Lonchura striata: one gene and its partner. The main gene of each other region encodes a partner of the protein of the gene in region 2 in a complex. Links are inferred from orthologs where the notes say so. Each region holds a gene or a part of one and is shown on either strand. Other genes may lie near its edges.

What was found.
Region 1: ODAD4 (region 2) and CLXN share a complex: the UniProt entries of both Homo sapiens proteins name them as parts of the outer dynein arm-docking complex. The link is inferred for Lonchura striata from reciprocal best matches to the Homo sapiens genes ODAD4 and CLXN.

The regions. Positions count from the first base shown.
Region 1 is NC_134603.1:133,577,336-133,593,021, forward strand, and holds CLXN (calaxin), read left to right. Parts: upstream 1-8,286; 5' UTR 8,287-8,301; coding exon 8,302-8,359; intron 8,360-8,585; coding exon 8,586-8,741; intron 8,742-10,218; coding exon 10,219-10,323; intron 10,324-11,284; coding exon 11,285-11,436; intron 11,437-12,233; coding exon 12,234-12,338; intron 12,339-12,913; coding exon 12,914-12,961; 3' UTR 12,962-13,132; downstream 13,133-15,686. Other genes in the region: protein FAM133B, read left to right, coding at 87-155, 750-845, 2,007-2,054, 3,662-3,757, 4,036-4,080, 5,591-5,677; RBM48 (RNA-binding protein 48), read right to left, coding at 13,367-13,450, 14,437-14,972. UniProt on the Homo sapiens protein: Component of the outer dynein arm-docking complex (ODA-DC) that mediates outer dynein arms (ODA) binding onto the doublet microtubule. Seems to regulate the assembly of both ODAs and their axonemal docking complex onto ciliary microtubules.
Region 2 is NC_134627.1:6,549,490-6,565,381, forward strand, and holds the start of ODAD4 (outer dynein arm-docking complex subunit 4), read right to left. Parts: upstream 6,366-15,892; 5' UTR 6,278-6,365; coding exon 6,170-6,277; intron 5,818-6,169; coding exon 5,686-5,817; intron 5,422-5,685; coding exon 5,268-5,421; intron 3,098-5,267; coding exon 3,036-3,097; intron 2,364-3,035; coding exon 2,207-2,363; intron 1,451-2,206; coding exon 1,226-1,450; intron 76-1,225; coding exon 1-75. Other genes in the region: ACLY (ATP-citrate synthase), read left to right, coding at 13,877-14,035, 15,359-15,481. UniProt on the Homo sapiens protein: Component of the outer dynein arm-docking complex (ODA-DC) that mediates outer dynein arms (ODA) binding onto the doublet microtubule. Plays an essential role for the assembly of ODA-DC and for the docking of ODA in ciliary axoneme.

The DNA of each region.
Region 1 (15,686 bases), on a different chromosome or scaffold from region 2:
AAGGGAGTGTTTGAATAGGCTTTTGAGTATTTGCCAGACAAAATGCTGCATCTCACAAGCTTCACTTTTTGTTGTATTTGGTCAAGTTGTCTTCATCTTCCTCTTCTTCATCAAGCTCTGATTCTTCCAGCAGTTCATCTGATTCAGAAGATGAGGTAAGAGCTAACCTACTTGAACCTATCATGTTTTGTCCATGACATCTATTTAATACATATTTTGATAATATGTTATAGAATATTTTGAGGGGCTAATTTGGATAAATGCATTTAGTTTTTATGCATTTGATATATATAATAAAGTCATGAATTTTAGACATATGTATCCAATCAGTAGTTTTTGTGCGAACACTACAGATTTTGGCACCCTGTCTTTTAAACTGGATCCATTTTAACACTGAACTGCTTTCCGAACAGAATCCCCTATCAAATCATAAAAATGCAAAAATACCATTTCTACTTTCTAGCAAAAATCTTTGTTACAGGTGATCAGATTCTACAGCATACATCTAAATAATAAACACAATCTAGAGAATCTGGATTTTTCACCAGCTTGCATTTTTTCAATGCAAAAGAGTTATGAAGGTCCTCCACTAAAAAAATCAATTGTAGTGTACTTTATTCCTCAGGAGAACATTGTAACATGTAGGAATTTGATGTTTCCTTTTCTTTACGTTTAATGTAAATCTAATTCTAGTGAGAATAAATTCAAGTTTGTGTTTTTCTTTCTTTTTCTACAATATTTATGGATAGGATAAAAAGCAAGGGAAGAAAAGAAGGAAGAAGAAGTATCGCTCCTCACGGAAATCTTCAGCAAGCACAGCTTCAGAATCTGAGTCAGACAGCAAGGTAAATACACAGATGTGTTGCTCTTGGCAAGTTTTCTTGGTTGGTATTATAAAACCATAAAGATTTCTGACTTTAACATATTCATATGGATTTTCATCTTCCACTGTATTCTCACAGGGCCTGAACTGCGCTTGTGTCTTCCACATGAAGTGTGGAATCTGCCTCTACTGGCCACATGCCTAGTGGAAGTAATTGGAAAACGAGCGCACTTTATTCCAGCAATTTGTAGTAATTTTTCTGAATTCAGACACATGCAGCTTTTTTGTTGCTCAAATATTTAGTTTTTATACTTCATTAACACTGAAAATGTCTTCTGAGTATGCAATTTAATTGAACACCATATCTGAAAATGCAGGTATTGCTGGATTGTAGTGGCCAGAACATTGCCTTTCTAAATATCTGAATATTTTCCTGTTGGAAAACTGAGCCTTTCCCAAATGCTTATTAAATTGAAGTTGTCTTTTTCCTTTTCTGAAGTATAGCAATGTAGATACATGGTCTTACTGAATGAACAAAAAAGTGAAGATACACAAAGCAGCTTGTTCTGTTAGCACTTTTCTGTCTTACAGTGTATAGTTACCGTACTTCTTGCTTAAATATTAATAATACAGTGAGTTTTTAAGATTCTCTGTGTAGACTTTATTGCAGGCTTCCACTGGAATACCTAATTTGGTGGGATATAAATTGTAATGAATGACTGTTTGCAGACATCTATGAATATGTGCTAATGGGAGGTTAAAAACTTCCGCTACATAAATGGACCCAGAGATACCCTTACTGCAAAAAACTCGGGGAAAATACCTGTGCAACCTGGTCTGATCAGCAGAGATGAACATGGGTAAAGAAAAAAGATTCCCAGCTGTTACATGTTACATGTGGTTACAGCTGTGATAGCTGGTAGTCTTCCCATAGGCTAAGTGTCCTGCAAGGATGCTGTTACCTCATTCCATACAGACCTTTCCATGCTGCTGGATCAGGAGATTAGCAGCTGCATCAAAATTACAGCTTTTTATATTGCTCTTGTCAACTTCAAGGTAGAAAGAACAAATATTGAAGAATTACTTTCAACAGACATAAAAAGACTGTTGGCCAGACTGCTTTGGAGATTTCTTCCTTTTTAATGAAATTATTTTGTTGTGATTTGTTTTCCTTTCTGTTTAGGATAGCACAAAAAAGAAGAGGTCAAAGGAAGACTGTGAAAAAGAGAAGGTATTTTTATTCTTGAAATCCTTTGATGAGAACTGCATGTTGCATACATAATAGATATTTCTTTTTTTAATATTGAATACCTCACCTTACATCTGTGGAAATTTTCTGTGCAAACCCACACAGTCATAAGGTATTCAGTGAACCCAGTTTGAAGTAGAAGTTTAGTTGGATTCAGCACCTAGTTTAGTAATTATTGTAGTGAAAACCAATGGATCTGTTCTTGTTACATAGGTAAATTAAAGATCAGCTGCATCCGTAGTGTTTTGAGGTTTACCTTTAGCTGTCAGATTGAGCTAAAAATGTGTGCGATGATATTTTCAGTGGCACACCTGGTAGGGTATTGACTTGTTGCTGTAAATGAAGAAACATAAGCAGAGGATCTCTTCATCTAAATGTAGTCATAGATAGTATACTTATGACAGCTTTGAATAATTGCAGAGAAAAAGGTATTAGCTTAAGAAAAATGACCTTATTCTGCCATTTCTCTAAGCATGAAAATATTCTCTCCTGCCCACCACCACACCATTTTGTACACTCATCCATTATCTTTAACATAAACAATCGAATTGACTTCAATTGTAGTTATTCATACACTGTGGATAAACTAAAAATGCTTGCAGAGTCCACCCTAGTCTTTCTGTCCAGTTACCTTTCTTATCATGTTGGCCTCTCCTGCTCTGGTCAATAGTATTGACTTTGATGTACAAATTCTCCATTACCTAAAGCAAATGTACTCATTTTTCTCCCTTTGCTCCTGCTTCTATTTTAGTGTCCATTTCCCATCTCATCCTTTTGAATGGCTTCTCTTTGAAGACCAAGTATCTACCATGGTCCCTTACTGTAGCACTGCTTTCACACATCCTCTGAAAGCAAAGGACACTTGAGAACTAGGGGTCTTTCTTCCCCTACCTGCAGATCCCCCTGTGTGCCAGATGGGCTGCATCCTGTGTACTTGCTCATGAGTTCTTTTCAGAAGTTTCTGGTCTTAGAAACTGAGTGAAAGTACCTTCAGTCTTAGGAGCACGTAGTAGTCTTGTCCTGAGCAAAGGAAGTGCAGGCAGCAGAAAAGTAGCTCATCAGAACAATCTCACACAGCATCAGAATTTTAAAAATAATTTCTTTTAAATGCACTGGAATGAAATATGATGTGTTGAAAGTACAGCTCGCAGGGACAGCTTGTCCTGGTTCAACACAAATACAGAGGGAACTTTTTCTTTCATGAACAAAGCAAGAGTCAGAAGCTAAAGTGTTTGTATGTATGTATTGAGACATCTTCAGTTACTAGTTACTTAAAAGTGGTGAAATGTTTTATTTTCAAATGCTTACTGCTCCATGTGTTATTATTTAAAATAAGAGACTGTTAGTATTTAGACAGTTCCTGTATCTTGGTAACAAGAAAAAGGAATATACAGAAAATTATTATTTTCACTAAAAGTTGATTTTAACAGTTACGGTAATTTGATAATGATGATGGAATTCGTTTAATGTCAATAAAATTTTAAAATATTTCACAACTTAAAAGTGATATTTCAATCTTCAATTTTAAGCAGAAGTTTTATAAAACGTGAAAGGTCTGTCTTTACTTACAAATATATTATTTTGTGTAGGAAGGTAAAAATCACCACAGGAAAAGGAAGAAAGCAGATCGTGGTGATGGACCTTTATCATCAGAATCTGTATCTGAATCAGATCAGGCAGAGGAGGTCAGTGTGAATCCTCAGTTTCCGATGTTACAGTGCTTGTAGCTTGTACTGATTCGTGAGCGAATCAGTGAACTAGTTCAGATTTAATACATTGTTGAAACTGTTCTGCACTGTACAGTTGAAGAGTGCAGTGCACTCAAAGTTGTTTGTATTTTTCCTTTTAAAATAAAAGTTTAAGGATTGTTTAGTCTAGCTTCTATCACCTACAAGTAATTTCGAATGAATTTTCTTGAGAATCAACTTTTTATGAATACTACATTTGCTTTTATTTTCTTTAGGTGCAAGCAAAAAAGAAGAAAAGCAATGAGGAAAAGGAGAAAACAGCAAGTATCCCTCTTACTCATACTGTAGTTTTAGGATATAAATACTCTGTACTTGGTTAATTTCTAGTTTAACGGTTTTCACAGATACAAATGTTTCATAGCATTAGTCTACTGTTACATCTAAATTAAAAATTTCTCTATTTACTTGCTGAAGTCACTTTTTCAATTGTTGAATTAAAGAAGAATCTATCACTCTTTTACCTGTATGTGATTTGAGATTTTTACAACTTTAACACTTACTGTAGGATATATTTTATTTTGTATCGATGTCGTAGAAGTACTAATACCTGTGTGGTATCAAGTAGGGGAGCAGTTTGCTACACAGACAGACATCAGGGCTGTTTCTTCATTAGTGTTGTGTGTAATTCCTTGCTAAGCCTTCTCTGCCATCATGGAAAGGGCCTTGGGACAAAATTGCTGCAACATCTATGCCATTATAACTCTTTTCCCAACCAGATAAAAAGCTGCCAGGAACCTACTACTTTTCTCAGTATTTTTTTTTTTGTATCTGTTGGTCAGACTGGAAGGAAGGTTCAGCAGTGATTTATATGGAATTCAGATTTACCGCATGTACCTGAGGTTCCTCAATCAGTGGGATCCTAAATGCCCACTTTAGATGTTTCTGTATCTGTCTCCCCTGTCCGCAGCAGTGTTCCTTATCAGGCACATGAGGTGGGGCAAAGGGAAGGTCTACATTAGTCCCCTGAAAATACAGGCAGAGAAGTATCAGTGATACTCAGTACACATTTTTCTATGGAACTTGCTTTTTTTTTTCTCAGACTCATGGGAACCATTTGCCATTACATTTCTAGTGATTGCTTATGGTCTTTTTCATAAAAGATTTGTATGTGTAAGGAATATGTATAAAACAAAGCTTTAATACTGATTGTTTCATTTACGCATTGCCACATCTATATGAGAATTTCATTTGAAATTCTGCTTTCAAAAAGACAATATTGCATCTTTTAGCTTCTTTATTACAGTGATCAGCGTACTACCTTTAGGACTGAATCCAGTAGGGTCAATTTGAGTGTGTTTATATTTCCAGTTGAGATCATAATTCTTTTATTTTAAACAAGGTACAAGTGATAGTCTAGCCAAGTGCAGTTGAGCTATATCATTTTACACAGTGAATTTAAGTACTTACTTTAAAATATATAAACATCCTAGTTATTCCCAAATCTGTCACTGCTGGTCAACACTTCCTTATTACTTTCTCAGTAATCTATAATGCTCTGAAAATAATTTAAAATATTAGGAAATGTAATAGTGACAGTGATCAGAAGTGTAAAATAGCCATACCATGGCTGAGATTTAAATTTGAATTAAAGACTGCTCATAATAGCCCAAATTGTTGGGTAAAGTATTTCTTTTTGTGATTTCTCAATAGGCTTCTGTAGAAATCTCTTTGAAATGTCTTTCAAAAGATACCCATTCTTGGTTCTCATTTTGCATTAGCAGAATATAACTGATGGCAATTGTATTATAGAAAAACTTCTTTTTTTTTTAGGATAAAACAAAAAAGAGAAAGAAGCACAAGAAACATGGTAAAAAGAAGAAAAAGAAGACTGCTGGTTCCAATTCAGATTCAGAATAAATATTTTAAAACAACCGGAGCCTATCAACAGAAGTGCAATGACTAAAGGAAACTTAAACTGTGAAATGACAGCAAACTTTACCAAACTGCATGAGTTTTCCTGTGTTTTAAAACTATTCCTAATCCTTCAGTAGCCAGCCAGATGCAGCTGTGCTGGGAAAGACCATTGTTACTGCCTGCTGCTTAATACATGGAGGTACAACTCTGATAAGATTCCAGTAAGCAGTGTTAGATGTTTGAGATGAGGTGGTAGGCCAGCTGAGGTGTAAAATATTGGAAAATAGGAGTTAAACTTTTTAGATAGTAAAAATAGTCTTTTAAAGCATTAGTAAAAGGTTTTATTTGTAAATCAGGACAAATTAAATCCCAAGTTCATCCTGCAGGTTAATATTATGCATAAACTACTACAAGCTGGTGTCTACTAATGGAAAATGAACGATAATATTTAAAAGGCTGCCTAGTTGAAATGTGGATCATCTGCCCCATTATTATCTCTATGCTTATGAGAAAGAGAATGCTACCATTTTGGCTACCTGAATAGGGTGCCTTTGCCTTTGATTCTTGCAAATCTTTGCTACTTTCAATCCATGCATCTCTGCATTCCTGGGAAGCTAGAGCTATTGTCAGCAGACTTTTCTGAATGAGCAGTTTTGAGCTTCCAAGCATGTGCTTCTGCATTAAGCAAGAGCAATGACATTTTGCAGTACAACTGACATTCAAAACCTGAAGATTTTACCTCTGCTTTTTCAAAATAGTGATAGACCTTTGCTAGTAAATATCTGTATTTCATTCAATGTAATTTTGGTTTAATTGAAAACTTCTTGCAAACACTGGTAGCTTTCTTTGCATTATCTTTAGAATTGTTTTGCATGATTTGTACCATTTTTAAATTAACAAAATGCAGGTAATCATTTGTTGTAACCAGTTTTATGAATTACATTTCACATGCAGATTTTCATGTATGTAGTTATAGTTAAGTTCATTGCTGTGTTTAAGTGCACACTTGCTGAAGTTATTTAGCATGTAAAAAGCAGGGTTTTGATACCTTAACAGCTTCATATTGAAGCTGATTTTACTCTGATCAAGTTCAGTGGCAGATCTGTTACGTGATGCGTCTTGTTAGATAAAAAACTACTGCCAGAATCTCATTAAGATACTGTTTAAACAGTTTGTATTTATATTTTTGTACTTGAGGGCTACAGAATGTTGACCTAACTCATAAAGCTGTTTTACTTTACTTTAGTTGCTTTAGATAACTGAAAAGAAGCTTTTTTTAAATTAAATGTTGCCACAAGAAAACATGAGCAACCATTTGATTTTAGTTTACATTAAATTCTCACTACATCTTCCATTGAAATATTAATTGCTGGGCCTTCTGTTAGCCTTTAACAAATGCCCATCCATCCCAGGTGTAGTCAAATATAGATTGTATTTTTGATCTACCCCTCTTTTCCATTGCACAGGTGCTAACTTAGAACTTACCTCTGTTGCATATGGATGTTTCAAATGTGTTGCCAAGAATTTCAGGACTTTGAAGACATTGATTATTAGTCTGCAAACAATAACTAAAATCTGTGGGAAAAGGTGATTTCATATTGTGTACAGAGAAATTGTCTTCAAGTTCTTGGGAGAATACAACCATTGAGTTGCAGCAATGTGCATCTAAACAATAGTAATATCTTCATCAACTATTTTATACTCTTGGGCTTGATGTTACCCATTCTAGACACTCTTGTCAGTGAGGTTAAAATAAAGGTGATTTGCAGTGAACAGAGGGGTTTGGTTTGGGGTTTGTACGTAGTTTTGTTGGGGTTGTTTTCTTTTTAAGTTGTGGTATTGCAGTTTTGGTAAAAGAACCTGTAATGAACCGTAGCATAAATGCTCTGTCCTGTGTAATACCTTATTTGACTTTTACGCAACCACCTGCCACAGAAAGAAATAAAAATGGAAATGAGACCCAGTCTTCCAAATACCTAAGCCGGTATGTAATTTTAATTGTGTGACTGTAACTATCTGTTCTGCTCAGCTGTAGGCTTGGAGTGCGGCTGTCATGCTTGGGAAGGGGTGTGGCCGCTTAAGGGGCTTATGGGCTTTGTCAGTTGCCAACAAAGCTGCTTTAGTACTGAAAGGGAACTGCTTCAGTTTGCAATGCGTTAACAAATAGGTGGAGTCTGCTCCTGCGTGCCCTTTTTCCTGAAGGAAAGGTGGAGGCTGGTCTCAGCCTTTCAGCTTTCCCGATGTGCCCACGTCGAGGTCGTGAGACAGTGATGGGGGTTTGGGGTGGCACCTACACCCATGTTCCAAGTTTCAGCAGAGGGACAAAGTAGAAAATAGGCAATGTTGGAATAAGAGTGGTTTAATATATTCTTGCCTTCTGACAGTAGATGAACAAGCACTGTTGTATGTTGTAACTTTTAGCTCTTTTTTCCCCACAAACGTTTTTAGATACTTAAAATGCAATTATTTTATTTTTGACTGCTGCAGTTTTTTTGAATGCGTATTAAGACTCGATCTCTGTTCTACCTGCGTGTTTCTGTGTGACCCGCCCGTGCGGCCGAGCGGCACCGCCCGGCCGCGGCCGTCCCCCCGCGTTGCCAGGGCAGCGGCAGCGGCTCCCGGCCGCCATGAGCAGGAAGGGGGCAAAGCTCCTGGTGGACTCGCTGACCCGATCCGCCAAGCACTGTGAGTCCCCCCGGGCTGCAGGAGCCGCCCCGCCTTGTTCCCGTGCCCATCCTGGGTGGCTCTGCTCGTCCCCCGTGGGAGGCACTCCACCGGCGCTCCCTTAGGAACAGCGTCTGGGGCCGGGGCGGGGGGTGATTATTGCTATCGTGGTCCTGGCGTGTTCCTGTGCCTGCCTCGTGTTTGACCAGCTTAACTTACAACCTGTGTTTGTGTTTGGGCCGGGCAGTTACCAAAAGCGAAGTGGAATGTCTGGTCAAGCTCTTCGACACGCTGGTGGCCAAGGCCAGCAGCCAGTTTGCTGGGGCCGGCTTCGACCGCACCGTGTTCCGAGACACGCTGTACAACGCCTTCGGCATGACGGATGACGTGGTGCTGGACCGAGGTGAGCGGGCACGCGGCTCTGGGCGCCGTGGGAGCGGTCGGGATGACGCTGCCGACCCGACGAGCGTGTCCGTACCAAACAGCATCGTCACCTCCCGGCCGGGACGGCAAAGGAGGAGTAATCCTCGGGAGCTGTTGAGAAAATGGCACATTTTCTTTCTTTATGCGTCACGGTTTTCCCTTAGTTCAGGAGAGCTCACGCTCTGGCTCGGGCAGAGCAGGCAGAGGCCCTTGGCTGCCCTGTGGCTGTTTCTGTCGCAGCCTCTGTAGTGTCGTGACCGAAGGGGGCAGCGTCACTTTCTTTTCTCCGGTGGTTTCCCCGGGAGCTGCGGTCGCTGCTGGGCGACAGCTGTAGCTCAGGGCGGGGAGTCCCAGGAAGGCATTCTGATACAGTGGGTAACGCTGGGAATAGAGGCTTTGTGAGCAGCATTGAAGGGCCTGGGCAGGTAGTACTAGGAAGTGAGAGTAATGAGACAAATCACCCCGTGAAAATACAGTGATTTCACAGATTGTAACAAGGGGCATGTTTGCAGTCACTGTGAAAGCTGAAGGAATGATCTCGGATGTAGCGATGTCTAGAGGAGTATGCAGAGCAGGCATGAGTCTGCCCTTCTTTCAGTCTTGGGCTGCCGAGAGCCACCCCTTGGTTCAACTTTCTCCATGTCTCTAGCAAGAGAGCTACTTACATGCCATAAAATAAAAACTTGTTGCAATTTTATGCAGCAAGTCAAGTGTGTCTTGGAAGATACCTCACATAACCTTACACATTCTTAAAAATTACTTGAATGCTTACACACAAAGGGGCTGATTACAGTTCACAGAAGCAAACCTATTGTCTTCAAAGTCAAAAATGCTTGGCTCTGCATGGGGAGATGTTCCTTCAGCCAATTTACTAATTAATATTCTAAAATACAATTTATTACAGATGCTGGTGGATGCTTTGAACTCCTTGGTTTTGAATTACTGTATTACAGGCTGTATTAATAGTGAAGCTGTGAAAGTTGCTTAGGGAAGGGAGAAGAAAAATATATTGTTATATGACAGAAAAAAGGTTATTTTTCTTTGTAGATTTAATACATATAATTTCTAGGATTATTTTGTCCAAGATTTTCCAAGACAAAACATAGTTATTTAAATCTTAATATGTATGCAGAATTATCCCTTATTTTAAAGGATATTGGTTTATTTGCTTTCCATCTGCATGGAAGCATAGTTCCTGTAGTTGTTAAGTCAGGAAGGCAACAGATTGGACAAATCTTACCAGGCAGAATTCTGGAGTGGAAGATCAGTAAACTGAGGGGCAGAATCCCTTTCATTGTTACATCTTAGAGTCAAGAACGGTAATCTTACCTTGGTGAAAGCAGATAAGCATCTTAAGAAGAAAGATAATTTATAATTTTACTGAGTTTAAGAAAACATTGGGTTTTTTTGTGTTTCCTTATCATATAAATTTGAAATGTGTCCAATACACTTCTTAGTGTTCAGCATTTTTGATAAAGACAACACTGGCTTCATCACTGTGGTGGAATGGGTGGAAGGCTTAGCAGTGTTACTTCGGGGGACCCTGGAAGAGAAGATGAAATGTAAGATTGATCTGTATGCTAATATTTAGTAGTAATGATTGAATTAATAACAACACATTGCTTTTGTTGTAATTTAGTAGTTACTCTTATAAAGTATTTGGTAATTGAAAAGTTTTCTTCTGTATCGTTTAATGCAATGGAACTGAGTTCTGAAATGGCTTCTCTGAGACAGTTTTTTTCTGTGTTAACTACTGTTACCACAGCCACCACCTTTTTTTGTTGCTTACAAAATCTTGCATTTAAACTGAAGTTTATTCTACAGCATACACTTCTGGAAAAAATACATGTTTTTGTATTCACACACAAAATTATAAAGAAGCAGATGAATCTCTAGTGTGCTTTTGGCTAATTAACAGTCTCAAGCCAAGCAAGACCAGAGCCAACATTCATTTACTGGCACACTAGCTCCAGCAGTTCTTCAGATTGGAAGCAGAGATGGAAAAACTGTAAGATGGTAATGAGAACCTCCACAGTAATGACAGAGAAAGATGGAAGAGAAAAAATAGCAAGAACTCTAGAATTTTAAGCAGCAGGGAAAAAAATAGGGCAAGTGGAGTGAAGAAAAACAATAGAAAAATGAGAATGACAGCATGTTGTTTCCATAGTTCCTAGGTTACAGCATTAGCCATTCCTGCTGCATTAGATAAATTCATCTGGAAAGTGGTCAGGGGTGTCACAGCATTAGGATGTGTGCCCAGGTTGTAATTCAGTGTGTCAGTACAACCACAAACAGTAAAACATGCATTCCTGCTGTAAGCACTATAGAATATACTAGTGCATAGTGATGTAGTGCTGTCTGTCACAAGTGTTTGCCAGGAGTGTTTCAGAATATGTAATAAATTTGGCTCAGTTGATAATGGGCAGCTCTGTCTATAGGTAATTTTCTGTCTATAGGTCTACAGTTTGAATGGTACGTGATTATAGTTTGTAATCAACTTCCTATTTATTTGTATTTCAAAAGACTGTTTTGCTGTTTATGACCTGAATGGTGATGGATACATTTCAAAAGAGGAAATGTTTCAAATGCTGAAACACAGCCTTCTCATACAACCAGCAAATGAAGAGCCTGATGAGGGAGTTAAGGACTTGGTAGAGATAGCACTAAAGAAAATGGCAAGTACTTGTTGTGATACTTGAGGGTCTTTCAAAGATTCACTAACCAATACTTAAAACCTTTCTATGAAGTAACAAAATAAGGTATCTTATTTTATTATATTATTTACAGAAGGATTCTGCAAGTCTCCTGAGGAAAGCCAGAAATATATGAGATCTAATGAGTCCCAGTCCAGTATTCTCATATGAAATCATTAATTTAGTATGTGAATGTACTATAAACTTTATGTATAAACTAGCATGTATGTATGGCCTATACATCTATGCATGCCCAGTCAAAGCAAGAGCCCAGTCAGAAGTGGAAAACTTAGAAGTGTAAGCTGCATTTATTCCATCAGTACCAGCATCTGCAGTAGCTTAATTTTAAAGTATATTTGTGTTTTATAAATGTAATGTCTTTATCCTATTTATTTGTATGTATTCTATTAGAATAGTAAACTCAAGGTTATTAATGTGAAGCTTGTCTTAGAGTGCTTAATCTAGAATATCAGAGCATCTGGGGATAGTCTGTCAGTACTTTAATCAAATCAAGATATATACTCTCTTTCATGGTGGTCAAAAATTTTCACTTCAAACCAGGTTTTGCATCCCAACTCCTTTTTTATTTAAGACCATCTTTTCAATTTTTCAATCCCACCCTTTTTGCCTTAGAGGCAAGTCACAAATCTTTTCTGAGCATAAACTGATGACCCCCAATTTGCAAATCTAACTAAAAATAGAATCCATGTTCTTTGAACACCTGTTAAACAAAACTACAAGTAATAATCCTTTGCTGAAGTGGTCCCTTCCTTTTGCAGGACTATGATCACGATGGCAAGCTTTCTTTTACGGACTTTGAACAAGCAGTCAGAGATGAAAACCTTCTCTTAGAAGCCTTTGGACCATGTTTGCCAGACATAAAGGTACATTAACCTCGAGTTCAAAAAAAAACTGCATAAGCCAATTCCTTACAGACACTTGCATCAATCCTGTGAATGTCAGGGTATCTTAGGCCAATGTGGAGTTCATCCTCTCAGTGCCAGTTCTGCTATCCAAAGGTGGTCCCTGAGCACTCCCACTCCAGGGTTGTTACAGCACACTGCTGCAGGTATTCATCTCATCACTAAGGGAAATTTCAGTCCTGTACATTGTCATCCCAGTCTCTAGCATTCCTGTTTTCATCCAGTTTATCTCATTCTGCAGCTGGGCCTTCTTCTGGCCCTTAATGCCAGATCATTCCTTGGGACACACCCCGACTGCTGAGCAGTTAAAATTTTAATTTCTCCTTCAACTATAACTTTGAATATTCTAGCTGGTCTGCTAGTGATGATACCATTAATGCTATGGATTTACCTTTTCTAAGCTAAAAAGCGAGAGTCAGTCTTCACTGCATACACATTTCAGTTCAGTACCTTTTCTGACTAAATAGAAATCCTTTAGTTAACTGAAAATTAACTTTTTTTTTTTTTTTTTTTTTTTTTTTTTTTTTTTTTAACAGAGCAGTATGTCATTTGAACAGAAAATTTTCCGGAAAGTTCCTAAATAGAAACTCCAAGTTGTAACTCCACTGATGAATACTGTTAAAAGGGGTCTTCATCTTCACCACTCTTTGTGATATAGTAAAAACAGTCATCTTTCAAGTTGCTCCTAAGCTTCAATCTTCCTTTGCTGTTAAAGCTATTGAATAAATTAATTTACTTCTGTAACTCTACCTAAACAGAGTTCTTCTGTGAGTTATGTAAAATATATTACAATATGAGGTACACAGGGCAACACTGCAACAATAATACAGTATATTTGGTTTCTTCATTCCAAGTAACAAAATGACACAGTTTTAACAGGTAATCACTGGGAAATAGAGTATAAGAAAGTTTTATTTTTTACATTAAAAAATACATATTTTAAATATATTCTTTACAAAAGGACTGTTAAAAGATACTGCCAGCAGTATCTATATTCTTCTTCTCTGCTTTACAACTGGTTTGGCTGAGCTGCTCTCTGGTTTTTCCACAGACGTTGAAACAGAATATGCTACCTAAATTGGAGGGGAAAAGATATTAGCAACCTGTAACCATTACTTTTTTTATGCTCATTTTAGAGAAAGGCCACATATCCAAGGTTTGGGTATTCGGAAGGATTTATTACTATCATCACTTGTAATACACTTGCATTGAGTTTTCCTGCTGACTAGAGGAAGAAAGTAGCATCAAAGTCAGCATTAAACACAACAGAAGTGAAACTTAGGAGATTCTGCCCTACCATTTTTGTATTTAACTACACAAACTGATTTCAGATAGTCAGTGATATAATATTATGTATGTCATTTCCCTTCTTCCTAACAGGTGTTTTAAAGCAAGGTTTAATGTGCTTTATAAACTCAGGTATTTCAGGAAACAAAGGGAAAGCAAAAACATGTATTTTGACACATATTTTAGAAAGGTATTTAATATAAAGAGTGCTTGTTTATGAGATATGCACTTTCAAATCGATCTAGTTAGTCAAGGGAGCTTTTTCATATCTTAATGTAAATTAAATGTTTGACCTGCTGATTAATATCCTCAATAAAAGGATATATAGTTTAACACATGCTTCTCAGCATGGAATTAGCGATTCTGTAGTGCTTTTAATGGCATAAGAAGTGTTGGAGCAAAACAACATTGAACTCTGACTTCCATTATTTTCCTTTCAGAAATGAGATACAAGTAGCACACTGGAGTCAGCAGGACTACCTACAAAATTATCATGCCTTCACATGTGGAGGAAATAAAAGTAGTTTACTGAAAATCACGTAAGAACATGCACTGACATTTACACTTTCTCAAGTGTAGTGTAAGAGGTCTGGAGTAGAATTGCCTGCAATATTCTAGATTGTGGAAAAGTTAAATAGTAAGAGCACCAGCTTTAAGTGGCAGATAAACTGATAATGAGTAAATGCTGAATAAAGCTCTCAGATATTTTATCACTGTTTTTATAGATAACAAGCACCTATGTTTGAACTATCAGAACTTTAAGAACCCATACCTCTTTCATCTTATTTCGAATTAATGTAGCCGAAGTATTCAAAGACTCATCATCCATATCCACTTTAGGTATTTCTGGTAGTTGTGGACCAATAACAATTTCAGTATTGTCCTCACTTGTTCCAATGAGGGAAAACTTGTTACCTTCTTCTCTCTTCCTCTTACGTTCTTGTAGGTGAGTTGTACGAGGCATAAACCTGTCAATTCCATTGCAAGCTGGAACCATTCTTTGCTGCATTAAGGGAGCTGGTGGAGTGTACACTCCTGGATGTACACTTGGAGTTAAAGATGTGTTTTGACCAAAGTACCCAGAAATTTCAGCACAATTGTTATCATAGTGTGGAGATGTTAACAGGCTCTGATTCTGATTCTCAGATGGATATGCTGTGTTGTGGGATACCCCAGGATGACTTGTAAAGCAGGATGAATCCCAGTTACTGGCTATACTTGATCCTGATGTACTCCATGAACAGTCATGCTCAGAGTTCTTTGAGGCTGTCTTCTTGGGGCCTTCTACTTTCTTTAACACAAAGCAATCTTTAAAACAACAACAAAGAAACACCTTCACTATTTCATGTCATTATTAGTTCTAACACCCAAGGACAAAACTTTTGATATAAATGCAAGAACAATACCAGTGATATTTGATTCCCAGCTACCTTTCTGTGATTATTTTCAAGCTTAAAATATAACAAATTCAACTTTCAAACCAGTTTTCCAGTCTAGTGCCTTTGCTGGTTTATAACATTGAAAAACCCCAGGTGTTTTGATGTTAAAAATCAGTGGGTTTACTCCCTTTAGAAATCCTCACACAATAAATAATGATACCCAAGTATGTGAGCGCAGGAAAGGAGAAGTTTGTGCTCAGCAATTTGCTTATTCCTCAGCTTTCCCAGCCTTCAGCACTGCCTGGGAACTCTGTGGTACAGGAGTCTTTGTAAACACAGTCCATTCTTAACATTCCCCCAGTGCAAAGATGTAGGCTGGAGAAATTTTTTGAAGGTTCTGGTATAGTCATATTCATTCCAAAACTCTCCCTTTGGCATGCCTGAGGAGGCTGGAACAAAGGTAAAAGTGTGATCCCAAATTTCCTGCCAGCGCTTTAAATTTCTGGTAGCACTTTGAAAGAAAACAAAAAATGAAGGAAATACTTAATTATTAAAGCTTAATAATTTCATTATTTTCGTCTTAATCAAAGCCAAAAAAATACTTTGAAAAGGATATAGTTCTCTACATATTGCGAGATGTCTC
Region 2 (15,892 bases):
CTGACCACGCTTGTATCTTTTTCAGCAAACGCTCAGCTTTCCTGCAGCTCTCCTCAGCAGAACCTCTGGCCAGTGCTGGGGACAGGGAGCAGAGACATTGAGAAGTTGTGAATTCCCCATCCCTGGGAGTATTCCAGACCAGGCTGGATGGGGCTTGGAGCAACCTGGGATAGTGGAAGGTGTCCCTGTCCATGGTAGGAGGGATGGAACGGGATGAACTTCAAGGTTCCTTCCAACCTGTGGGAGCCCAGGGCTTCCCTCTGGCTCTGTCCAGAGGTCAGGACAGAGGGTCAGGAACCCCCCTGGACAGAGCCCCCAGAGACATTGGCTGTGATCTCTGTCCATGGAAAAGAGTTTTCAATCTTACAGGAAGAATCACAAGCTCTGAGTGTTTGATAGAAGTAATAATTAGATGTGGCACAGGTGCAAAAGTAAAATTTTAGGATTCTAGATGAGGGGTCCAAAGGGGACAAGATGGAGGAAATTGGGTGTGCCTTGTCCTTTTTCTCCTTCTTCATGCCCTCCATGTCTCACTGTGGTCTTGGCATTTTTCTGTTGGTTCAGGCTGGGGACACACTGTCCAACGTAGGTGACAGATATTGGCACGTTCTTGTAAATCCAGCCCAGGGAGTTTCTGGTGTATAATGTCTGTAACATCCCACTGAGGGATGTTACATTGGCACGTTATTGTAAACATAGCACAGGTAGTTTGTGGTATATAATGTTTGTAACATATACCAGAAACTGGGGACTGGGTTTAGGCTGGGGACACACTGTTCAACCTAGGCGACAGATATTGGCACGTTATTGTAAATATAGCACAGGTAGTTTCTGGTGTATAATATTGTAAATATAGCACAGGGAGTTTCTGGTATTTAATGTTTGTAACATCCCACTGAGGGCAGAGCCCCACACGCTGCCCTGCAGGACAGAGCTGGGCAGGGCAGCAGAACATGTTAGAGATAAACCAGAATAAACAACTTTGAAAACCAACACAGACGAATTATGGTTTCTTCTATGGCAACAGGGCAGAAAGACAGAGACTTTCTACAATCTTGGAATCATCAATACCTCAGATTCTGACACCAACCCAAACCCTCTCGGGATTCTGTGATACTTGGGAATTGAGACCTGGTGAAGTGTCAAACCCTCAGGCAGAGCTCAGGAATAGCTCGAGCTCTCCAGAGCAGTGGGAGGCACTCAGCTTTTGCAGCCAGGAACCTACAGAGCTCGATGTCCTCCATATCCTTTGCGATGGCCCTGGCAATGTCGGCTGGTTTCTCCTTCCTGCCGCGCGCCCGGCGCTGCCGCAGGAGCTTGCGCTCGTACACCCGCGCGTAAATCGGCTTCTGCTGCTGCCAGAAATCCCGCCGCTGGTTCAGGTAGGAGATGCCACTCAAAACCAGGTCCATGACTTTCATCCCCTGCCTTGTGCTGCTCTGCATCAAGTCTGGAAATAAGAGAAGGTAGAACCCAAGTGAGAATCAACAGAGCTGAGCTGCAGCTCAGTGGGGAATTCATTTGGAACGTTTTTCTGTTCTGACACAGTCAGTCCTGGAAATGAAAGTGTCCCGTGCTCCCCAGAGTTGAGATGATGGGGCAGCTAAAAAAAAAATCTGTTACTCTTGTAGTTCAGTGAGCTGAGCTGGTGTTCCAGCCTCATATCTGCTGATTAAAGCCAGGACGGGGCCCAGTAAGTGGGGCCAGCTGTGCTGAGCACCTGTCCTCTGGGACAGAACACCTGTATGGCACATCTGTATTGACAGAGCATTTTGAGCAGTGCTGTGGATCAGGCTGGCAGATGGAAACTGAGAGGGCTTTTACCTGCAAACCAGACCGCCCACATGTATAATTAGTGCTGGCAACACTGTAAAACCTGTGAGTAAACCAAATCTTAATCACTTCTTTATTTCAGGGTGAAAAGTGCCCTAGAAATACAAATTAAGGAGCATCACCTTTGTGCCTTTTTCTAAAATAAGACTGTTGTCCCATTCCTGCATCTTGACCTTAACAGCATTTATAACAAAGGCACAGAAGAGTCACAGCCCCATGAGCAGATATCTGTGTCCCCACCACTGTGAGCACCATGTGCTATGTGAGCTCTGGTACAACTAACGAAGAGTCACATGGATTTAAAAGAAGAAAATAAATAAAGAAGAAAAAAAAGGGGTGAAAAAAAATAGAATCTGCTGAGAAGGAGAAACACCTTCATCCTTGAGCAATTTCTCCAGGTATGCCTTGTCAGCATAAAGCTGTCCCAGAAGCTGTTGCTCTGTTTTTGGACTCTTCTTCTTTGTCTGTTTTTGATCCTTTTGATCCTTTGGTTTGTTTTGCTGTTTCTGGCTGGCTTTTTTGCTCTGCAGCTAGAAAAAAAAACAAAAGGAGATGGGGGACTTCAGTGGGGAACACTGGAATGAGAATTCTGCTTATACTCCATATAAGACATCTTTTTAAAATAAAAGCAGAAAGTGTCTCACCAGCTGCTTTGGCCATGAGCAACTGAAATTCTGCAGCCAGTTGTGCTCCCTGGGGACCACAAGGGTATTACAGAAAGGGTAAGAACTAGTTCTGGCTTCTCAGAGGAATAAGACACTACTGCAACGGAGCATCCAAAAGTGAAGCAATAAAGAAAGTGTCCATTATGAAAACTGTGACCTTTAAACATCAGGTAAACCCAAAGTCAATACTGGAGCTCACTGTGCACTCTTTGACCTCTGGGGTGTTACTCATTAGATGGGTGGCTGGCATACCCCAGAGATGGGCTGGAGGAGAAATGCCAGGTTTTGTTCCTGCATGGTGGCTCTTCCTGCCCTTCTGCCTTCCCCTTTAAATTCTGGGTGCCTTGAGCCAGACCTGCATTAGAAGCAGGTGACAAATACTCTCATGACAGGCCAGTGTGTTTTAAAGCTCAAGAGACCCTTCAGCAGGCCCCCTGCTCCCACAGCCGTGTCCCTGCAGGGACTGTCACTCCTCTGGTGCCCATTTCAGCATTCCAACAACTCCAGAAGTTGTCCAGCAAGAGCCCCGTGCTGTACCTCTGCCTGCCTGCTCACAAAGCACAGCTCCTCCTTGCCCTCCAGCTTCACCGAGGATGGATCTGCAGACACAGAGGGGTCAGTGTTAGTGCTGCCAGTAAAATGCCCAAAAAAGGTGCCAAGCCCAAAACGTTCCGTTTCACCCCAACGTTTTCTAATCCTTTCCCATGGAATAGGGGGTGTTGGTGTGTTCTGGGAGCAGGGAATGCAGCTTGTCCACCAGCTCCTCTTGGGGTTTCAATTCACACAGCACCGGGGGCTGCTGTTGCAATATTCCTACAGACAGGGTACATCCTGCATGGAAACTGAAGGAGAAGGATGCAGGTTCTTCTAGGGGATCACAGCTGGAGCATGAGATGGAAGGAAAGGTATTTTAAAGGTTTGTGCACTCATTAGGGCAAAAGGCCCATTGTGTTTTCAGTTGACCCCAGTACCACCATGCACCCTGGGAAGGAAGAGAGAGGAACAGTTCTTTGTTTGGTCTGAGGGAAGGACAGAGCTTCTGAGCTGCTGCAGAATTCCCTTTGGCAGCCCTGGGGCCCAGACCAGCAGCACAAACACAGGCAGGTCACAGGGGCAGGTGTTCCCATCCATGCAGGGGAGGCAGAGCCAGGGAAGCAGCCTGGGGATGTACCCTGTTCATGTGTGTGCATTTCCCAACTGTTCAAACATCCAGATCCACGCTGGCTTGTTTTTATGTTTCCCTGCATCTCACAGCTACTGACTGATTGAAAAGAAGAGTTTTCTACTTTTTTAATTCATTTTTGTGCCTGCAGCCTAGGGGATCCAAAGGTGGTTAGAGCTCTTGCCTCGGGATATTGAGCTGGGAAGATTTCAGCTGGAGCTGTGATAATATCTCAGCATTGTGCTAAGCTCAGGAAGCAGCAGGAATGGAGGAAAGCAAGCCAGATTTGGAAAGCTTCCCTGTTTTTTAAATAACTATCCTATATGAAAGTGCTGCAGGCTCTGGTGCCACTGGCACGTGTTAAACCCTGGCACTGGGGGAGGGCTGAAGTTTTGAAATTTTGGAGAGGGAGGCCCTGGCCTACCTGGGAATCTGTGTAGGGTGTGAGAGGGGCGTGCCAGGTGCTGGGCAGGGACAGGCTCCAACCCACCCCACAGGTTTGGCAGCCCCAGAGGAGCCCTGCACACGTGTTCCACTCACATGTCAGCAGTGGCAGCCCCAGGTGAGGTGTGTCCGTGCCCCACAGTCGGACACGTCCTGTCCATGCCTGCTGGCACGGCTGAGAGAAAAACTAAGTGAAAAGAGTTTTCTGTTTGTTTTAAAGCCCACGAGGTCCTTGGCCTTTCTTGTCTCTCCAGGACCTGCTCAGTGATCTGAGCCAGGAGTGGTGAAAGCAGAGCTGGTTGCAAGAGTCAACAGTTTCACTGCTCTTTTGCAATGAAAACTGGAGGAGAGTCAGGATTTCAGGAGGCCAGTCTGAGGTAGCGTGGCATATTGCATTCCAAGCTTGGAATACAGGGATAAAGGTCTCAAAATGGATTCTGTAATTAGTGCTGGAGGTAGATCATAGAATCATGAAATCCCAGAATGGTTTAGATAGGAAGGGACTTTAGAGCTCATGCAGTTCCATCCCCTAGAATTGCACCTCCCATGGGCAGGGACATCTTCCACTATCCCAGGGTGCTCCAAGCCCTTCCAGCCTGGCCCTGGACACTTCCAGGGATGGGGCAGCCACAGCTTCTCTGGGCAACCTCTGCCAGGGCCTCCCCACCTTCACAGGGGAGAATTCCTCCCCAACATCTCATCCATCTCTGCCCTCTGGCAGAGGGAAGCCATTCCCCTTTGTCCTGGCACTCCAGGCCCTTGTAAATAGTGTCTCCAACTTCCCTCTCAGCTCCCCTCATGTACTGAGCTGCTCTCATCTAATCTCTCATGGATGAGATGAGCTGCTCTGGTCCGTATTCTCTGGAAAGTTTCCATGATGATTTTGGAAACTGGAGTGTGGGAATTTACCTACACAACTCAAGGGATCAGGTCCTGTGTGTGAACAGGTGTTCAGGGGAGAAAGAAAGAACAAAAGGAAAAAAGAGCAGGGCTGGCTCTTTGTGGGGCTGCCTGGATTTGTCTGCCACAAAGAACACGAGGCCAGAAGCAGAGAGAGGCTCTGCTCTGGGGCTCTTGGGTCACTTGCAGAGCTGATTTGCCATCAGCCGTGCCCTGAACAGCATTGTCCAGGCTCATGGGGGTCAGAAAGCGACACTTCTTACTCCCAATGCAGTTGATAATGGCCTCCTCAGCCTTGTTGATGCCCAGCTGGAACTTCTGCAGGTCGGGGCGGAGCCTTCGGCCTCGGTGGTAAAACACCAGCGCGAACTCAAAGTCCCCCATGGTGTACAGCGTCTCTGCTTTCTGGTAAAGCCCCTAAAACCACATTTGGGGAAAGAAATTGATAAAATGAGGGGAAATTTTGCTGGATCTCAAGTAACTCCTGTCAGGCACGCGTATAACAACTTGCCTCTGTTAAAGGCCAGACCTGGAGGTGCCCGAGCACCTCAACAGCTCTGAGAGCAGCAGAAATCTCAGGAGTGACTGGAGTTTCCTCACAGCTCTGCCCCAGACCCTGCAGGGTCTCACAGATCCAGGCCAGCTCTCGGCCATCCCCCTCCTCCCCCTTCAGCTGGTTACCTCAGAGAACGTATTGTCAATTTGGAGCGAGGCTTCAGCATCTTTCAAGGAGTTTTCGGTGTCTCCAAGTTTCAGAAAGCACTTGGAGCGGGTGATAAGGCAGTGCTTGTCTCCTGCTCTCAGCTTCAGTGCCTGGAACCACAGACACAGACACGTCACCAGTGCTGGACATGTCACCACACACGGAAATGTCACCTGTGCTGCCTCAACGCCACAAACACACAAGCGTAGGTATTCGATGCCACGGTTCCCACGTGGATCTTGATGATGGATGAGGATAAAACCACAAGGATTTTACTGAAGAGTTTTCTCTCGTTTTTGCGCTGCAGGCGCTGCCCTGTCCCTGCACTGCCCCGTGCAGGGTCACCCCCCGTGCCGAGCCCTCCCGGGGACACGTCCCTCGGTGTCCCCGCCTCTTGCGGGTCCCCCCGCCTGAACCGAACCGCATCCCCGCCGCTGCCCCCGGTGCCCGCGGCGCCCTCACGTCATTGAAGCAGCCCAGAGCTTTGTCGTGCTGGCCGCGCCGGGCCAGGGTCGTGCCCTCGGTCATGAGGCTCCCGAAGGAGACCACGGGCAGCTCCTCGCCCGCCATGGCTGCGCGGCGCCGCCGTTGCCGAGCAACGCGTACCGGGCACCGCCCGCTCCCGGTGCTCGCCCCGCCCCGGGAGTGACGAACCGGCCGGTGCCCGCGTGGGCTGCCGGCGGCCCCGGCGGCCCCGGCCCCGCTCCCGGCGCTCACTGTGCCTCTGACCCGACCCGTCTCCGTGCCCGTGGGGTTCTGCTCTTCCACCGGCACGACCGGGAGGGGCGGGAGCGCGGCCGCTCCGCACAGCCGCGGTGCCACCGGGCAGAGCCGGTTCCTCGGCCCCAGCCGTTCGCAGGGCAACCGGAGGGCAGCCACCGCCTCCCTCCCGTCGTTTATTCGGTGCTGGTTTGGTGCTCGCCGCTGGCCCCGGTTTCACCGCTGCGGGCGGTAATCCCGGCCGGATAAAAGCCGAACGGCAAATTCTGCCGCTTCGCTCCCATCAGCGCTCCGGTCCCCACTTCATTTTGGCGCTGGCTCAGACTCTGCGCCAAGATTTGTGCTCGAAACACTTTGTTCCTGCCAAGCGGCTCAGAGGAAGGGCGGGGGGAGGGCACCGGTCCCGCTCGGAACCGGCGGCATTGAACGGCACCGCCCGGCTCGGCCCGGCTCCCGCCGCGCTCGGCACCGCCCGAGCCCGGCCCTGGCCCGGCGCCGCTGGCCGGCCGCCACCGGGCCGGGAGGCGGGCCGGGGGTCACGCCAGGGTGGGGAGACACGCACTGCCGAGCTCCGGAGTGGCGGCCGGGCTGCCACACCCCGGCCCCGGGGAGCCGGGCGCGGAATTGCGGCGGGATCGAGCGCCCGGTAACGTTTGCCGGGGGATTTTCCCCCGCTGGCACCGCCGTCCCCGAGCTGTGTTGGTGAGGGCTGCGGCAGGGCTGTGCCCAGCTCGGTGGGTGACATCGGCGTGGGGACACCACAGCCACCACGTCGGGACTGAAAAATGCATATTAGATGATTCGCAAATCTCAAAATTAATACTATATGTGCTATGTTGGAAAGTCATGCTGTATTAATCTCCTTTAAATATGGTTTTAAGCTATAGCATAATATTAAAATAGAAACTAGGCGATGTAAGATAATTTTTGCAAGTAGCTCAAGGAATGGATAAGATAATGAAGAAATTAAGAGATAACAGCAACAAGACACTAAGGTCTCCAGAAAAGAATTATTGCCTCCTTATCAAGAAGACTCAGACTTCAAAGGACCAACACAATTGGTTTACAATATGAAGGAGGGAGTCGAAACTAAGCAGAAGAAATCCTTTGAAAAGAATTTTGAATAATGTATGAGATATATGAATATGCAACAGGCTATTACTTTTAAGGGTCAATTATTTGTTAGCAAGGCATGTTTCTGTGGCAGAGTTTCTTTGCTTTTTATTGTCCTTTATTGTCCTAACTCTAACTGTCCAAATTATTACTGCTCTAAATTTTATTACTCTTTGTATAACTATTTTGTTACTTTTAAACTTTTAAAATTTTAGAACAAGTGATTGGGCGTTTTCCACAGGGACAAGGCCGCCTGTTGGCCGCGCCGGGTGCTCCCGCTGATGACCGCGTTAGTCACGGGCTGGGAGCCCCGGGGAAAAGCGAGCGTGGGCGGCCGCTCCCGGGAACCGGAGAGCCGTGGCGGCTGCCCCGAGAGCCTGTCAGGAAACGGAGCAGCGCAGGGGCAGGACGCTCCCGGTGCTGCGGGACGGTGCGTGAGCATCACGGCGGTCTCGCCTCGCTGCGGTACCGGCGACCCGGCTGTGGCAATGCCGCCACTCCCGCGTGGGTACCACGAGGCACCGCCCGTGGGAGGTTTCCCGGCATGTCCCGGCGCTGGGGAAGGAGCCCCGTTCCCGCCGCCGGTACCGGTGGGCGCGTTGACGTCATCGTGTTCTGTGACGTCACCGGCGGCGGGTCCGGCGTGGGGGGTCACGGCCGCGGGTCCGCCGGGGGCGGGGCGAGGGTGCCGGAACTACGACTCCCACAAGGCTACGCGGGCGCACCCCACCGGCGGCGGCCAATGGGAGCGCGGCGGGCGCTCAGGCAACGCGCACGTGGTAGCGGCGGCGGCCAATGGGCGGCGGCGGCGGCCGTAGCCCGATGGGCCGGGGAGGCCGCGCTCCGCGAACAAAAGGCGGCGGCGGCGGCGCGAGCGGGGCCGGAGCGGCAGCGGAGCGCGGCGGGAGCGGCCGAGCGGGGCTGTGAGGTGAGTGCTGCGGCGGCGGCAGCGCCGCGCTCCGCCCGGCACGTGGCGGGGCCTCTGCCGGCGCTGCCGCGGCGCCCACGCGTCTGAGGCGGGAGCCGCGCCGGCTCGGGCCGGCCCCGGCTCCCGTAGCTCGCGGCGGGGCGGGCGAGCCCCGGGAGCGGCCGCAGCGCCGCTGACGGAGCGGGTGTGCCCGCGGCAGCGGCCGGCCCGGTGCTGCCCGGAGGGAGCCCCTCTCTCCCGCCGCCGCCCCTGACCTTGCGGGCGCCGCCGCCGCTCCTCCCGCGGCTCCCGGCGGCGGAGCTGCTGCCCCGCTCGGTCCCGGTGGCCGGGGACGGTGCGCGGTGGTGACAGCGCAGAGATTACCACGGGGCTGGGGAAGGGGCCGGCTTGACGCGTTTTTCGCCCTGGTCCAAGCGGGCCTCGGACTTGCCTCCCTTGCCACGCGGAAAATCCCTTCGTGGCCGTCCCGGAGGAGCAGCCCCGCGCGGGGGCCGCGCCGTTCCCGTGCGAGCAGCGGTGTGCGCAGCCCGCGTGTCGCTGCCTTCCCAGCACAGTCGGCTGTGTTCCAGCTGTCCTGTTTGCTGCTTGTAAACACCTCCTGTTTGCCCTGCTGCTTTCGAAATTCTCATCCTGCTCTACAGACTCTCCTTTCTCTCTGTTGAGCAGTTTGTTGTCTGCAGGCTGAAAGCTGAGCTGCACCCTGGCTCTCCTGTCTGTAGGTGTCTGTACTCTTTCTGATGTCTGTACTCTTTCTGCTTCCTGCCTGGGTTTGGAGCTCAGAGTATCAGCTCTGCTGGTACTGTCCAGTGCTGCTGCCCAAACCCTGTTGGGTTTCCTGCATATGAGACTCTGCAGCTCTCTCCAGGCATCAGGACTCTTCCCACGGTTCCAGCACTGCCTGAAGTGGTTCCCAAGCAAGGGCAGCCACAGTTGGAAGTCCTGCCCAGCCATGGTGGCCAGGGAGCGCTTTACTGCCATACACAGTTCAAGTGATTTAAGGAGTAAGCTTGTTAAGGAGCCCTCAAAGCTGCAGAAGATAATTTTTAATGACAGCATTCCTAAATTCCCTCCTTGTAGCACTGGGTGCCCACCAGGTGTGGGGAGCCTGTGTGCTGCTCTCCGTTAGCCACAGGTCCATGGTCTGTGCTCCTCCCTGGCTGCCGTGTTTCTCTCAGAGATTCTGTGTGTGCAGGGAGCCTCCCCCGGAGCTGGGCATGCAGCACCTGTTTGTATCACCCCACACAGCATTTCCCAACCACAGCTGGGGGACCATGACCTCACGTTGGCTGAACACCGAGCCCTCACCATCCTCTGACGAAACACATGGGTCTGCCAGGTGGAAGCTGATGTAACTTTTCATGCTGCCATGGGCTGAAAATACTGGCTTAGCTTGAACTGTGTTAATAAATTACCCAGAATGGAGGGGAGAGGCTGTTTATGGTGTGGGTTTGTTGACACAGTTCTTGGGAGAGTGGGTGTCAAGTCTTCACTGGAGAGGGAGTCCTTTCCTCCTGGTCTGAAGTGTTGTTCAGGTACAATTGGAGCACAGTGCCAATCCAGATCTCGGAGAATTCCATGTGTGAGCACCACATTATTTGTGAATGCACATTGGTGAAGCTGAATTGCACCTCTTCTGGTTAGAAGGAAAACAAACTAAATCAATGTCTGTAATACTTTTTCTCCCCTTGCAGAGCAGACTGTGTCACACTGAGCAGTGCCACATCACTGATCTCCTGGGAGTCAGGGAGACTTCACCTGAGTTCTGTGTCAGGAGTGCCTCCCTGTTTCTCCCTGTTTCTCCATCCGTGTTTCCTTTGGATTTGTTGCATACACCCTTCAGCTGGTTGCTGGTATATTGGGACAGATGTATCAGTTGTTTCACAGCAAACACAACATCCAGCTCAACTCTTGCCTGCTTGCCACCATCCTGCTGATTTTCTCTGTCAAAACACTCAGTAAACTTTCCCCAAACATCAACTTATTTGCATGTGTTTGATAGGTGATGTTTTGAGGGAATAAGTGCTGCTGAGCTCCTGAAAATATGATCTAATCCATGTCTCTTACTTGCTAGCAAAGGTTGGAATTCAGCTCTTTTTGAATTGGTGGGTATGGATGATGAGAGAAAGGTCTCTGAGGTGTTGCAGGGAAGCTTTTTGGGTTGGAGCCTCACTAAATGAACACAAATAATTTATCAAAATCTGTGGTACTTGTCCTGCTGACATGAATCTAACCTTGTGTGTGGTGGGTGCAAGGTCTGGGGCCCGAAGTGCTGAGAAAATTGCAGATCAGTCTTGGCTAATGAATGCTGAACACAGCAGTGGAAGAGAATGTTGTTATCCCACAGCTTGTGATTTGGGCAGAGAAAGGGACATTTTCCCCGGGTTTATCTTCAGAGGTGCAGCCACTCCTCTCCCCAGCACTGCAGGTGCTAAACATGACTGAAAATAAGATTAATTCTGCCAGATGAGAGTTTGACCCCGTCTCATTCCTGGAAAACTGAGGAGATTGAGTTCCTCTGCCTCTGTAGTGACATGAGTCTGTGCCCCTGCTTGGTGTTAGCAGAACAGATGCAGTGAGTTAATGGACCTGCTCTGATGGCCCTGCAAGAGCACACACACACACAGCCAGGAATTGCTGATGCCCTATGGATTATTTTCCTGCTGATCTCTTAGTTTAACAGTTCAGCAGACTGAAGCAATTGCTTTGTGCTCTCTGTCCCACGAGAAAGGCAGGGTTAGAACAGTGGAAAAACTGAGTGAGGGGTGTGATTAAAGACTTGCTAATGCAGATAAGGTCAGAACAGCAAAATTCCTGCTGTTCTGTTGCCATGACACAAGGATGTTATTTTTCATCTACTGCTATTGTAAGAATTTTGTAGTTTCCTTTCTTTACCCCAGTAGTGTTAGTGCAAAAATGAGGTGATGAAGTTGTGAGGGAAACCAGGAGAGCAGCAGAATGGAGCAACATAGAAAAGACCAGAAATGGTTCTGAGAGGGGAGCAGCTCTGCTTTGTATCCCTCAAGTTTAAGGAATCTCATGCATGTCACTCGTTCCCACTGAGGTTTTTTGCAGGACTATTCTTAATAAGACCTGAGACACTCTGGCTCCAGTGTCCTGCAGTTGCAGGGTATTTGTTGGCATAACCAGCATCTGCCTGAGTGGTTTAATTTCTAATTGTGGATTGAAGTTCTGCAGTGCTGTTCAGAGGATCCGTGACACCCTGGAGAAATGACAAATACTTAGATTTCTTAAAGAAATATGTTTGCCATTTTCGTTTACCCATCTGCTTCTGCTGCAGTGAGATGTGACACTGTTTCCCTGAGCAGATTGTGGAGTTGATGGATTTCGAGGGGCTTGAAGCCGGAATATTGCAGCTCCCTCTCAGGCAGAACAAATGGTGGCTGCAGGTATATATAGTGGGAGCAGGTTTGCTCTCAGAAATAGCTCTGCTTAAAGTCCAAATTCCAGTGGGAAGTTTTAGGCTCTGCAGCACAGATGAGACGTGTGTGTGCAGCTGTGAGGCTGGGCAGTGGTGTGGTGCTTGTGGGAGTGTGTCTGTGTGTGCCTGCAGGGTCAGGCTGGGTGGTTGGTTTGGGGTTTGGTGTCCTCTGGCTGCTCACAAGAGCTCCTCTCTTGTCAGGCCACCTTGGCTTTGCCAACAGGCTAATAACTGACAGGGGCTGTTTCAGCAGACAGCTAGGGGCAAGTGTTTCTAGGGGCAGGGTGGGGGTTGAGTCTGATGAAAGATGGGGTGCTGCAGAAACATTGCCCGGTCCTGTTTTGAAATGGGATTTAATTGGAAGCTGTGCTGCAATCCTGTTCAGGTTTTACATCAGAACTCTTTGAAAGTGGGCTTGCTGTTCTTTGTTTTTTTGCCTTTGCTGTAGCTTTGCCTTTGTGATTTTCAACCCTGGAATTGCATTTGAAAATATGGCAGTGGCACAGTTGTCTGCTGGTCCTTAAGTACAGTTATCAGCTTTCAGTAATAGCATTTAGTCTAACCTGTTTGGTGTTGGAAGTTCAGGGAATGCAACCTCCCTCCTACTATGGAGTAGGAGTTGGGATGGACCCACCTCCTCCTTTCTGCTCTAGGTAGAAAGGTTCTTTATTTCGAATTATGGAAAGTTAATCTCTGCCTATTCTGTGTTTGCTTATAGGATGAATAGCCCAGCTGATTACTAATGGTTATTACCCAGAAGGCAGCACAAGAAATAGCTGGAATTTGTTAACTGTTTCTCTCTGTGGGGTATGTGTTTTGTGAGGGCAGGTAGTCCAGGTGCTCAGATGGAATCTGAACTCCTCTTTTTTGTGTTGGAGCAGCTCTCCCTGAATCTATCCCAAGAGTGCTTTTGCTTCCTGCCACACTGACAGTGCTTGGGAAACAGTGACACGACCCTGGTCACTCAAAATGCAGGAGGAGCTGCTGCTTGAGCCTCCCTGACAACAGTCTGACCCCCCAGACACACCAAACCTGCTGGCTGATCACAGCACTCAGTTCTGATGTGTGACACATGCAGACAGGGTCACTGGGATGAAGTATTCTTTTAAAGAAGTGTTTATGGCAGCTAAAAATAAATGGATCTTTGACACCTATGACTCTTTTGTTGCATATCAAAAAGAATTAGTTACACTCTTGAGGCCAGAAATCATTTGCTTATATCAGTTTGGAATATACCTGAAAAGAGAAGAAAACTGTCCATAGAAAGGGACAGAATTAGGAATTTTTCTTAAAAAAAAACTCAAAAAACAAAACAAACTGTCTAAACTTAATCTTTTTTATTGTTGTCTTGAACATCTTATTCTGTTAGACGTAAAACTCTTTCCAAGAAAGCTGGTTCTGAAACAAGAAAAAACAGTGATGCAAACCTATTCTAGTTTTGGTAATCCTGGCAGTGTTTTCTTTTCCCTTTAGAAAAGGGATGGGGATTGCTGACATGCCCACAGTCAGGCTTGACTGGGAATATGGGATGCCTTAGAGAAGTGAGTAGGAGGGAGAGGATCCCTCCCTGGAAATGCACCAGGAAAAGGGGTAGGTGGGTTGCACCAGGAGCAATCCTGGGGTGCTGCAACATTGGAGAGAGCTCAGCACTGCCCTGGATGGGAGGGGATGCTCCAAGCTCTGGATTTGGGAAAGGCTTGGTGGTGGCTGGGACAAGCTGCGGGGATTCTGCCTTTCCCTGCAGACAGGGCTGGATGAAAATAGTGTGCATGGCAGGGGAACAGGGTAGGAGTTTTAAGCAATATGAGTAGTTCTTGCTTATCAGATGAGTTTTATGATCTCACACGTAATGGGGAGACTTTGCTTTGCTTTGGGTTTGTGTTGAGCTGAGTGATGCAGAGTTCTTTGCCGGAGCAGGGCTCTGTTCCTGATGGATTTTTGTTTTTTTCCCCATCCAGACTAGGTAGCCATGTCAGCCAAAGCCATCTCTGAGCAGACGGGGAAGGAGTTTTTGTACAAGTACATCTGCACGTCCTCTGCCATCCAGAACCGCTTCAAGTATGCCCGGGTCACCCCCGCCACGGACTGGGCACGGCTCACCCAGGACCACCCGTGGCTCCTGAGCGAGGTAAGGGCAGGGACAGCAGGATTTGCCTTCCTGGAGCACCTGAGCACTGCTCCAGACCCTTCCTGAAGGACTGGTTGCTGCTGCTGCTCTGTCACAGTCACTCCCACCCTGATGAAGAAACAAGCCTTGCTTCAAGGCTCAGGATCACTTCGTGGGGGGCTGATTTAAGACTGTGAAATACAGGAGCAGAGATAGCTGTGCACCAGTTGCTCATAACTGCACAGAAGTTTGAAGGTTGATTCAGACAGAAGTGTCAGTTCCTATTCTCAAAGCCTTGCTCGCTGAAATAATCTTTGTTCTCCTCTCTCCATGTCTGGCTTTAATGTAAAGTTAGGACACTGCTTAGTTTTCTCGAATCCAAGCAAGATGTCAGGGAAAACTTCCTTCTTAAAATTTTTTCAGTGCAAAATCATTTATCTCTGTGTCTCATATCCTCATACTTTCTCTAGAGGAAAACATACCCAGAGCTCTTTTTTATTAGCTGTCCAAGATGGCTCTTTTCCAGTGGTTAATTATATTAAGTCATTGGCTGGAGAACATGAATGTCTCATAGTCCTTGACTGACTGCCTGATAGAAGCCCTGCACTAATTAAATGTTCCTTACTCAAGTGCCTGAATGAACTGCAGGAAGAGATCAGCAAGCCTTGCAGGAAGCCAGAAGGGAGCAAGGTTGCTTTTGGGCCTTTAAGGCAGGTTCTGTAAGGCTGGAAAGGGCTTCAGGGTCCAGCAGCAGGACCATGCTCAGTGTCCTGTACTGCAGCACGGTGTGTTCTGACTCATAAGTTGCTGAAGTTCCAGGATGTATCCGTGGTACAGGAGAATGACACTCAGTTCTAGTTCGGTTATTTAAAAAGATATTTGCAAGCTAGAGATGTGTGGAACCCAGGAGCAGCTATCCATGGGTTTATTATAAAGAGCCATGACCAGTTACTGAAATGTGCATGACCCTGACCCTAGCCAGTCTCATAAGCAAAGTGTAGTGACAGCAGGAGCTGTTTGGGGTTTTTTTTTGTGAGCAACTGTCTGTGTCTGTCATGACTTTTATTGGGCTTTTTCATCAAAAGAAGAACAAGCTGTCACCTCAGCCTCTGATGTCTGCTTACAGCTGAGTGGAATAAGGCAGCTTTTCTCAAAGTACAGCGTAAGAAAACACAAATTTGCAGGCATATTGTATCAGGAGCTTGATTTGCTAAGATTAAAGGAATTTTGCAAGGATGGGTGCTGTGCATTACTGATTTAAGTTTTCACTGTCTGCAGAGAACCGCTTGACCAAAGTCAATGTCTAATCCTTCTCCCTTGAAATCTCTTGCCCAACCTCTGCAGCGTTTAGTGGTGAAGCCAGATCAGCTCATTAAGAGACGTGGGAAGCTTGGCCTGGTTGGGATTAACCTCACTCTGGATCAGGTGAAGGTTTGGCTCAAGCAGCGCCTGGGCCAGGAAACCACGGTGAGTGCTTCACTTTTGTTCCCAGGACAGGCCAAAAGCTGGAAAATCACCAGTCCTCCACTGCAGCCAGCCCCTGAGTTTTTGGCTGATGATTGAGTATTACTTCAGACCCTTGTTTTAACTTGGTGCTGGCATGTAATATTTATTTTTCTGGGAATGACAGAGCAGTGCTAATGATAATGAAGTGCCTGCCATCCCTGCTGCTGTGTGTTGGGAGCTGATGGACTTGTGCTGCCTCAAGGAATTTATGCCTTTGGCCCTGCTGGGATTGATTTGGCTCTGGCTCTGAGCCGGTGCAGCAAGAATTGGGAAATAGCAGGAGCAGCACTGTGAGTGCTCCCTGTTGGGAAAAGCCTGGGTTTGGAAATTACTCCTTTAGCACAACACAACAACCATATCAAAAGCAAGGAC